Drosophila melanogaster: one gene and its partners. The protein of the gene in region 2 interacts with the protein of the main gene of each other region in a pairwise test. Each region holds a gene or a part of one and is shown on either strand. Other genes may lie near its edges.

Region 1 (3,681 bases), 4.4 Mb from region 2:
TGTCACCAATCCTGAAATTGGATGGGAATTTAGTATGCGAAAGTGGGTGGCTCGATTACTTAGCTTACATAATAGTGGCTCTGGTTCCAGGTCCCCAATGTGGAGTCGGATTCTCTTGGAAGCGCGATAATGCCGATTTGCGACTCTTCGGGTTCGCCTCCGGATGGAGTTCATCGAACTCGTAGACAGCAGTGCATTCTTTCGAAAGTATGGCCGCCAGTGGAGATCCAGGAATCATCCTTTCGGGATTTACCGGATGTCGCTTGCTCCAGCTGCGCAGAATGTCCCATAGCACCGCTGGTGGAGCATTGGTTTTCAACGAATTCTTCGAGGCATGCGAGTATGAGACTCGATAGCCAGCGTGGAGAATAGCAGACCGGAACTTTAGCATGGGCACGATTTCTAGCTTGAGCACACAGCACAGTTTGTCCGGCGTGTAGTAAAGGGGAACATCCTGCAGCTCCTCTTGGACCATGGAAAGAACTCCAACGATTCGTCTCTGGGTTCCCAGCGATTGCAAGGTGGTCTCCTGGACCGCCGTTAAAAGATCCTGCACAAATTCGGGGTTATGAATCGGTGCCGACCAGATGGGTCCACCCAGATGATGCCTGTGACCGCAATGTTCGCACTGCGAGTTGACCGCCGGACCAGTGGGAATTCCGAACTTCAGCTGCTGGGGATTACCAGCCGTGGGATTTGGCTTGGTTATGCCCAAGGGCTGCAGCGTGAAGGTCTCACATCCGGTGCATTGGTATATCCAAGACTGCTTGCTCATCGACAGCTTGCATTGGGCCTGGCCGACGTACACACGCACAAATATCCGGATGTAAAAGTCCGCTGATATGCTCAGTAGTGGTTCGATGTACTTGCCGTACCTGTTCGCGTGGCTCTCGATGCAGTGCAGCAAAATGCGCAATGCCATCTCGTGACAGCACTTCATCCGCAGCGGAACCGATCCGTATTTTACATAGCAAGCTTCCGGAGCATTTCCGGCCAGCACGGCCATGTCGGTGGCTGTCACCAGCAGCAGGCCGCCGTCCACCAGGCACTGCATAGCGCCATCCAAAAAGCGATTGGGACATCCGTACGGATCCAAGTCAACTGCATCAAAACGCTTCTCGGGTTGCGTCGAAAGATACATGAGGGTCCTGTACGATGTATTGGAATGCCCCATTTTATACCGTGTGCCAATAGCTTAATTATAAACCTACATTGCATCGGAGTGACTGGGCTCGATCAGCTCCTCCACCTTGTTGTGCCGGATGTTTGTGTTGATCGAGGCCACTGCCTGGCGGGAAAGATCGTTGGCCACGATCTGGCGTACACCGGCGATTTCCTGCGCGTAACGGATGCTACGCAAACCGGTGGCTGCCAGTGCCTCCAGGATCCGAAGTCCATCCTCATATCGAGTACCGGCCTCATAAACAGGTGGATCCTCGGGAACGGGAGTGGTCTTCTCATCCTCCTGTTCCTTGACCTTCTTCCGCTGCTTTTTGAGCGCCTTTTCGCTCCGCTCCTTGGTCAATCTCTGTCGATAAACATTCAGAGCAGCAATGCTCAGATCTCGATTGAATTCCTGGACAGGATTGTAGAACACATTGCCGCCGGAAACGATCTCCGCATTACGTTCGCGTATCACGTTTTCGTTGGGATTTTCAGCAATAATCTGCAATCGTAATGCTTAGCTTAATGTGGTTTATTTATAATGTGTTTTTCTTTAAGAACCTGCGGCTTTTCCTCGTCCACTTCCATTTGGATGAGTTAAAAGAATACACGTGGGGCAGTGTTGAAAAACGTAAGCTACTAGCTATTAAGCTTTAAAACTAAAAATATACACAAATTTGTTGTTTTTTATATGAAATACGAAATAAACATTACAGAATTATATTTAAGTTTAATTTAGTTTCAAAATTTACAATTTGGGTATATTCTCTGTAATAATACATCCCATAAAATGATGTTGAATAAAAATGGTTCTTAATATTTATTTGAATTATTTAAAGATTAAAATAAATTAAAATAATAAATTGACATTAAATATGACTGGAAAATAAAACTTGAAGCTAGCTACTTTGCCACCACCAGGATTATCGAAAGGACTATCGAACCAAAGTCCGCCCCTATGCTTGATAAAGAAATTAATTTGCAGAAGTGAAACAGCCGCAGCCGCAAACAGAAGCAAAAGAGCTAGAAGTGATAGCATTTTTGTACTTTTATACAGTGCCACAAAGAAGCCACAGAATGACCGATCTGCGCAACGAGATGGACAGCGATCTGGACCAGAACTACTCCCTGAACAGCAATGCGGACCCCAAAAACATGCAGGAGCTGACCATATACGTGAGTAATGCCCGAACCGGGAACCACCCAGTAAATAGAGACACCAAATGAGCACCCAGTAAACCTGCCTCCTGTTATCAGGTACAAAATCTGTTGCAGAACGTTCAGGACAAGTTCCAGACGATGTCGGACCAGATAATAACGCGCATCGATGACATGGGCAACCGCATCGACGATCTGGAGAAGAGCATTGCGGATCTGATGAACCAGGCCGGGATCGAGGGTCAGGGACCGGAGAAATGAGATCCGTAGCGCTGGCACGGCCACGCCCATTCGGAAAGTGCATCCCAATACCATTAGATACATACATCGAACACCTGGCACCCAGTCACCCGTATCAAGTTTACAATTCCAGGTTCTCACATTCATTTAATCTCCTCCGCACCCAGCTGCTCCCCAAGAAATGAAGAAAAGAACACATTTGCTCATCCATTTATTGCTTAGTTTTAAGTTTCGCCCGGTCGGGGCACATCATAATTTAAGTAAAGTAATTCTTTTGTGAGCAATGGCCAATAATTTTGAATTATTGCCGTTTAGTTTCTATTTATAAATTAAAAATTCAAGAATTGTAAATTCCCTGCTATTTGGGTGTTCAGGACTTCGATTTAACAACGGTTACCAGGCGACCAGTTCCCGATTTGTGTTTCCTCACCTGAAAGTTTATTGCGAAAAGGGGAAGAGAAGCGCGTCATTTCCGCTTGATTAGTTATGATATGCATATATTTAGTATTGTTTATCTGGGACAAATAATGCAAATCGTGACCCGTGTCCATTAATAAAAAGTGTATGGAAATCAGCGCTGAATGGCAAGGAGTGCTATATAACAATCCCTACTTTTAAAAGGAAAATCAACATTGATTTGTGGACCAGAATGATTTTCGAATATTAATTGCAATTTGTGTTGCTTCTACATATCATGTTTTTTAAGGCAATGAGATAGAGAGTGGTAATACATTCTGATTAAATTATGAAAGGAAGCTCTGAGACTGCGGGGTTACAAAAACCAATTAAGATAAACCCTTAGAAGTATGTTCCTAATTCAATTTTATTTAAGCTCTTGCTACGATTCCAGAATGTGCCTGCAATACTGATGTGAGCTCTAGGAACTCTACTACTGGTCATAATTTGAGTGCTAGTGCTGGGGCACGTGGAACTGCTTCTGCAGCCTTACATGGGTGGAGGCCACCGCCTTGAATGGATGTTTGACCGTTTGTCTGCTGGGCTTCGAAGGAGCAGAAGTGGCACTGGCACTGGTCGATGGCGTGGCTATATCCTTGCTGGCAGATCGGATCTTGGCCCCAAAAACATTCTCCCGCGGAGGAACCTGGTTGCCCGGCTGCG
Region 2 (3,237 bases):
GTCCAAGGAGCGCAAGGGAGCTCAGGGCAGGCGTCGTTACGACAGGAAACAGCAGGGTTTCGGAGGTCAGACCAAGCCCATCTTCAGGAAGAAGGTAAGTGCCCCCATTCGTCTAATGCTACCGGGATCGCTTGCCGCCGGATTGCCATCGACACTAATGGCGGCTAGATTGGAATCCCTGGAATGGCGCTTCGTAGAACTAAATCGCTGCGCTCGTTGAGCATTATGCTTTTTGGTGGGAAAAAACTGTGCCAGATCAAAACTGTTGTTGCACTGGTGCGGCCGTGAAGGCAACGTTGTGTGGCATCCATGCCCACAACGCCCCACCGGCAACTTCAGACAATCCAAATGAATTCATGACCACCATTTGTATGCCGCTTGCTAACTGGAGTTCTAATTCCATTTTAGGCCAAGACCACCAAGAAGATTGTGCTGCGTATGGAGTGCACCGAGTGCAAATACCGCAAGCAGACTCCCCTGAAGCGTTGCAAGCACTTCGAGCTGGGCGGTGACAAGAAGCGCAAGGGACAGATGATCCAGTTCTAGGCACCTTCTTTACACCATTAAAAATCCTTTTTTCGCTAACGAAGTGGTTTTATGTTGTTTTCGCGTCGCTGCACGGCGGCAAATAAAACAAAATAAACTTGTAGACGTAAGCTTTAAAAAATGTTTAATTGCAAGGTGTAGCAACATGTGCTATATCACAAGATCAGATCACGCTCTGCGCCAGGCAGCTCACTCTCGCTGGCCATCCGCCAGGATCAGATCGGGTGTGCTGCAATGGAAATGAGCTTGATGAGCTTTCAATTTGGCCAAACCTCTCCACGGAACTTACTCTAAAATACGCGGCTCCAGACCTTCGGATTGCATTTTCTGCTTAACCGCCGGTGCGGGCACACCCACTTGCACCATTTTGAAGAACTTTCTGTAACGTTGATCTTCACAGGCGCGCACACCAACCGATTCAGGCGGGAGTTCCGGCTCCGTAGGATTCTCGGTGGTCGGTGGTTCCGTGGTGTCCACCATGGATGCTTCTTCGTTGCGTTGCTGGTTTGATATCGCTGGCGCTTCGGTAGCCTCAGTCGCTACATGGTGCTCGGTGGGTATAGACGCCAGCTTGGCCTCCAGGATGATGAGGGCGGCCTCCGTCTTCTGCAGCTGCCGTTCCATCTCCACGAACTTCGTCTCACAGCCCAGGGCAAATTCATTTAGAAAGGTGCAGGTGCTGACGAGGAAATGGTTAACGAAGGCCAGGATGCGTTTCTGGTTCAGCGGCGGTATCTGGAGGAACAGAGTTGAGAGCTGCAGGTGCAGTTCACCCTTGAATATAAGTCCCATACCTGGGTCTTGTCCACATTGCCGGTGATTGCTGCAGTTGCATCCATTATTTTATTTTCACCAGCCGTCTTTTATTTTAGTACTTTTCTGGGTTGCCAGGCTGACTGACGATACTAAATATTGTTCGCTCAACATCAAGCTGATCCAAAAATTTGGTATTTCTCACGTAACTTAACACAGTTAACTTGGCGCCTAGTTTAAAAATGAAATAGAACTGAAGTTTCTTTCAAAAAACTTGTGTGCATATTTAAATGTTTTGAAATTTCATTTTTAAAGTGAAAAAAAACGAATAATATACATAAATACATAGTTATAGCTTAGAAACCCATTCAACAACAAATCCACCATTTTGTTTTAAATATTTTATTTATTCACTTTATTGTATCTTAACATGAAATGTGTGAATGTTATTTCTCCGAGTATTATGCACTTCTTCGTCAATTTATTATAAAAGTATCGTTCAGTTAATATGCATTTCCTTTGACATTATTATTTATATATGTATGTATAAACTTATGTGCTGGGTGTTCCATTAGGACCTGGGACCTTCTCACTATGCTCAAATCTACAATGAACTTTTATTTTGACTTAGTTAAATAATGCTTATCGTGCCCATCTCGGCGTCGCTTTCTGCGGCTTAAGTATTAGTTGGAATGCCAAATCGGATCCGCGTTTTATTTATTATTTGTATTTGTATTTGTTTGGAGAATTACATTACTTTTTGTTAGCAATTTTTTTTTTTTTGAGAATTTCATTGCTGATCCGAATTCTCGGTCTTTGTTGAAACAAAACGCATGCGTGCAGCTTGTGTTTGTCGGCAGTGGATTTGTAATGGTTTGTAGAAACGAAAATGCTTTCAATTCTGTGCGGTGTAGTTCGCAAAACTGAGTTAAGAAATCAAAAATGCTGCCAGCAGCGAGAACGGTTCGAAAATGAAAATGCCAAGTGAAAGTTATTAACTTTTGCCACCGTTGCAAACGAGAACCAGCTGGTCTACAACGTTCTCATCACTGAATCTGAATAGTTTGTGCGCTGTTTGTGAGAATTGTGAGAAATCAAAAGGCAGACGCAAGTCACAGGGCTTCTTTTTGTAAAACTTTATTTAAAATAAAAATACACGGTAATAAAAAATCAAGAATTTACAGTTAAAATTAGAAATCAATAGTTTTATGTATATATATATACATATATATATATATATATGTATATGTGAGTGGCTGCCCCCGATGGTCGTCCACAACTATTTTAATTATTACCATTATCATTCATCATCGGCTCATCAGAGTTTCGGATCACCGCGGTAATCCAAAAGGCGATTCGGATTCTCGATTGTAACAACTAAGGCGTAAATTAAAATACGTAATTTAAATAATAGAGGATTTGCTTGGTGTACACAGATCGCAATCGTTTTTGATTCTGATTCGTCGGTTTCGAATATCAAGTTTTTGGGTGTTTTTAAGGTTTGTGGAGAGTGTCGGTCGGTGAAAGGCTCACGTAAATGTAATTTGTAATAATAATATAATAATAATTGGTAATACTAAAAACTAATATTGAGTTGCTCGGCGTTCACGTTCAAGTCACATATCTAAATCTGTTCATTCATCGTGTTATTAATTTACTTGATTAAAATTACGAGTACGCATCCATGGTAAGCGAATCTATTTATATTCAACTACGAAATCCATTGGATCAGCGATTGGCGCCAACATTTTGTTTGTTTTGTTTGTTTGTAACTTTCTTTCATTCGTTAATACTAGGCATAAATTAAATAAATAGCTTAGCATACGTTTATAGCTTGCCTGCAGTTATTATTTATATCTCATCCTCACATGGTCGTGGTTAATCCATCAAGCATTGCGTACTCCCCTTGGTAATGACAATTGAAATTATATAAGCATT
Region 3 (4,278 bases), on a different chromosome or scaffold from region 2:
CTTTAGCACTTCGGCGGTGCGGCATGGATGCAATGCCATAAAGGGTCTGAAAAGCACCGGGTGATCCATCTGGGTGAGTATCTGGTGGAGATCGCTGGCCTTCGATTCGGGCATGAACATTCGCCAAGTGGCCTCCACATCCAAAAGACTTCCATCTACGATAAGTGGATTTATTTTCACATCTAGTGAGATTTTGTAAAATATGTAAATACCTGATCTGTGTGCCTGGAAGAACAACATTGGTACTTGATAGGAAACACTGAAGACCACATGGTACTCCACACTAACCAACTCAGCCGAGTTGTCCTTGCCACCTCGGCATTTAATCTTCTGACTACATTTGAGATAGGTGTTTGGTTCATTCGAGTCCTTAATTGGGATGGAAAACGTATTAAATAATTAGCCCGAATTATAAAATCCGCACTGCGAGATACCTTTTGTTCCAATATCCAATTATCACCCAACTTCTGCGAAATTTCGAGGAACTGCTTGGCCTGGCTCAAAAAATCTTTCCAGCTCAAGTCGCCCATAATGCTGAAAATAAAGCACAAAAATATGCGTGTTAAAATCTTTAAACACTTCAAATACCCACGCGTAACGATACTTGAAAGAAAACAATTTCTTTTGCGTGGGAAACAAGCCTCATACATATATTTAAGAATGTCCTGTATTCTAGAGCAAAATTGAAACGCCAAAGGTTAAAGCTCCTCAACACAATACACTTAAGCTTAACACAAATCGTCAATTAACGAATATCAATTGCAATAATCCATAAGTTAGGCGCTGCGCAGGTCGCCGTCCAGGGCGGTAACCTGGACATTCTCGTTGCGCCGGACCTGAACCACAGTCACCGTGCCGGCCTTGTCATCAAATTTGCACGTCACCGTGACCTCCCGCAGCTGGAAGGTAAATATTTGCGAGCCATATTTTGTGCGCAAGTAAACGGAGCGCGGATCCGCCTCCAGAATGTCCACGATGCACTGCTTCTCCACCTGCAGCTCCTTTAACTGCGCCTCGGCATGCTCGTTAAAGGTCACGCTAAGTCTATTGCTGGCCACCACCCAGTTGGGCACTCGCACGGCGCTGGGTGGCGGCAGAATAGCGTCAGCTCCAATGCCCGCGTTCCCGCTGTAGCCAGCTGCTCCATACAGTTCCAGGTCCGATTCCTCTCCGTCAGGCTCCTGTCTGGAGTCGTAGAAGTCCAGGCTGCTCTCATGCGGTCCAACAGAGGTTCTTCCTGTCCGGGGCAAGAACTTTAGTTGCATTTCTGCTTGATTCTCGTCCAACGTACCTGAGTCAACGCTCAAGGATGGTGCATCGTAGTGTGGAATGTAGGGCTTAATGTCCAACACGGGTGTGCCGTCTACCATGTCCGTACCAAAGAAACTAATGGTGGCGTTCTCGATCTTCTCAATCTCCACCAACGAGAGACCAATGGGACACGGGCGGTGTGGAGATCGTGTGGAAAACACACCCACCCGCTCCCCACCAAGACGGGGAGGCGCCACCTTGGCCTTGGGGTGGGAATTGTTGCGGTGAAAATGATAGATGAGCCACAGATGGGAAAAGTCCTCTAGTCCCTCCAAGGAGTGCTCCGGATTGGTGAACACACCGTCGTTCAGTTGGATGATACCCCGCAGGCGACTGCCCACAATTGACTGCCTCGGCACGGCCCGCTTCTCTGGGAATGCTGTCCGGATCACTCCTATGGGCCGAAAGTGTGCGTAGTCCTCTCCCAAGCAGTGCCCACCATTGGTATAATTGCTCTAAGGATTGGGTGCGAGGTTTGTATGTGTCTTTCAGTGTGTGGGAGGGTCAAACGCACCTGACCTTGGCCCGTCTGCTGGTCCTGCGTCTGCTGTTGGTGCTGGTGCTCCTGCTTCTCGCCGGCGACCTTGTCCTTGGCGCTTTTGTTGTTGTTCGCACACCCCTCGCAGCGGAAGTCCTGCAGCAGGCGGGTTATCGTCTCAATGTCCTTGCGCTGCACATGCTGCAGGTTGCGCACTTGCTGCCTGCATCATGGTCAAGGCAAAATCGGTGTGAACTTGAACTATACCAGTAGCAAAAGGACACTCATGGCAATTTGCCTGTCTCAAACGCACCTGAGATTGTTGATCTCGTTCCGCGCGATGGTCAACTGACTCTTCAGATCATCCTCGTGCATTTTCGCTGCCGGCAACGCGCACTTGACTCCCAAATAATCCGCAATTGCAGCGTTCTCCGCTGTTATTGACCAATATTTACCTCGATTCTCAATGGTTACATCCAGCTAGAGTTGGCCATCACTTACGCACGGCACCGCGACGTTATCGATTGTCGATAGGTTCACCTGTGCTTAGTTACGGCCAACTGCCTTAATTCCAGTTAGATTTAGCTTGCGCTCAATAGCTTTTTTTACAAACATTTTCTTAAGAAATAACGTTGTAAGCCTCAACAAAAATTATATAAGATAACGTTACTGAGCAGTAAAAGTTTTGTCTTCAATTTACATATGTTTGTTAATATTTTTTTTTACAAATCCCTTTGCTCTATGTTGACTAATTTACAATAATTCACAAATAAAAATAGGAATAATTTAAACATTTTGTAAGCGTAGCTTAACACTATTTTGGCTTTTTCCAAATATTCGATTTCAATGATAAACGATATATCCCAGCGCGCGTTTCTTTTTGGTATTTTTTAGGTTCATTTTCGGGCTGAGAATGACAATCTGAATTTTGCACAGTAGGTTCGATTTGAAGCGACATTTTCCCTGCTATATACAAATTTGTAAATTTTAATTGTTCAAAAGGTGTGTTGCTTGCGGCAGACTTGAGAACTGAATTTTAACCGGCGTTGTCTATTGCAGCTATCGAAGCACGAAGAAAGCATCATGTCTCGCGGAAGTTCAGCCGGCTTTGACAGACACATCACGATCTTCTCTCCGGAGGGACGCCTCTACCAAGTGGGTTAGTATCCTGGCACTTGCGGCTCCATTGTATCCAGTCTGACATTCTCATTTCCCCGCCAGAGTACGCCTTCAAGGCTATTGCCCAGGAGAACATCACCACGGTGGCGCTGAAGAGTGGCGACTGTGCCGTGGTGGCCACCCAAAAAAAAGTGACCGAGAAGAACATCGTGCCTGAAACGGTGACCCACCTGTTCCGCATCACCAAGGACATTGGATGCGCAATGACCGGACGCATAGGTATGAACCATAGATACTTTAAATTCTTGTTTATCCCGGCGTGATTCGAGTCAAATTCCAGTCGAGTTAGCACAGAGTTATCCCATTGTTGATATGTCCCATGTAACCAAGTAGCGATTCACTTATGATTGTGCTAAAATCAGAAGAAATAGCCTGCCAGACATTAGGGCAAAGGCGTATAGCGTGGAGCCATTTTAAACGTAGTTTTCACACGGTGCTTCAACTAGAAAAGAGGACATATCAACCCAAGAGTGTCACTAAATACTTAAAATTATTTCTCTCCCCTAGCTGATTCCCGCTCACAGGTGCAGAAGGCCAGATACGAGGCCGCCAACTTCCGCTACAAGTACGGCTACGAAATGCCCGTGGATGTGCTGTGTCGTCGAATTGCGGATATCAACCAGGTGTACACGCAGAATGCCGAGATGCGTCCGCTCGGCTGCAGCATGGTGCTGATCGCTTACGACAATGAAATCGGCCCCAGCGTTTACAAGACGGACCCGGCTGGCTACTTCAGCGGGTTCAAGGCCTGCAGCGTGGGTGCCAAGACTCTGGAGGCCAACAGCTATCTGGAAAAGAAGTACAAGCCCAACTTGTCGGAGGAGAAAGCGATCCAGCTGGCCATCTCCTGTCTGTCCAGTGTGCTCGCTATAGACTTCAAGCCGAACGGCATTGAGATCGGCGTGGTCAGCAAGTCTGATCCCACTTTCCGTATTTTGGATGAGCGGGAGATCGAGGAACACCTCACCAAGATCGCCGAGAAGGACTAAGTTCTGTCCCGCTAGCTGTAATTTTGTCATATTTTATAAAGCCTCTTGGATCTATGGTTAAATAAAAAATGCTCTTGGCTTGCATTCAAAACAAAGGCAAATCCGAAAACGTTTTATTTCTTCTTGTGCACCTTACCGCCGTATCGCATGACAAAGGCATTTACATCGAATTTGCGACGGCATCCCTGATAGTTCATGTACCTAACCTTACCGAAGATAGCCCGCTCCTTCCAGCCCATGTCATGGACGCCGCCAATGGACCACATGCAGCCCACATAGCCGTTGGGGTCGCGACCATCCAGACTGTACTTGTCGTTCAGC

Evidence for each region.
Region 1: the proteins of CCDC53 (region 2) and CG5446 interact in a two-hybrid assay, tested with the Drosophila melanogaster proteins (one large-scale study listed by BioGRID).
Region 3: the proteins of CCDC53 (region 2) and CG12822 interact in a two-hybrid assay, tested with the Drosophila melanogaster proteins (one large-scale study listed by BioGRID).

What each region holds. Positions count from the first base shown.
Region 1 is NT_033779.5:12,426,128-12,429,808, reverse strand, and holds CG5446 (uncharacterized protein), read left to right. Parts: upstream 1-2,099; 5' UTR 2,100-2,241; coding exon 2,242-2,340; intron 2,341-2,421; coding exon 2,422-2,583; 3' UTR 2,584-3,178; downstream 3,179-3,681. Other genes in the region: Trm1 (tRNA methyltransferase 1), read right to left, coding at 1-11, 69-1,148, 1,212-1,666, 1,726-1,752; Fam92, read right to left, coding at 3,473-3,681.
Region 2 is NT_033779.5:8,039,297-8,042,533, reverse strand, and holds CCDC53 (Coiled-coil domain containing 53), read right to left. Parts: upstream 1,429-3,237; 5' UTR 1,386-1,428; coding exon 1,341-1,385; intron 1,282-1,340; coding exon 836-1,281; intron 776-835; coding exon 736-775; 3' UTR 655-735; downstream 1-654. Other genes in the region: RpL36A (ribosomal protein L36A), read left to right, coding at 1-94, 409-546. UniProt on the Drosophila melanogaster protein: Acts at least in part as component of the WASH complex which may regulate wash nucleation-promoting factor (NPF) activity and is required for its membrane targeting during endosomal sorting.
Region 3 is NT_033778.4:7,830,190-7,834,467, reverse strand, and holds CG12822 (uncharacterized protein), read right to left. Parts: upstream 2,298-4,278; 5' UTR 2,165-2,297; coding exon 2,103-2,164; intron 2,013-2,102; coding exon 1,826-2,012; intron 1,767-1,825; coding exon 777-1,766; 3' UTR 627-776; downstream 1-626. Other genes in the region: Atg10 (Autophagy-related 10), read right to left, coding at 1-155, 213-369, 435-530; Prosalpha1R (proteasome alpha1 subunit-related), read left to right, coding at 2,873-2,948, 3,011-3,187, 3,476-3,957; CG18853 (uncharacterized protein), read right to left, coding at 4,071-4,278.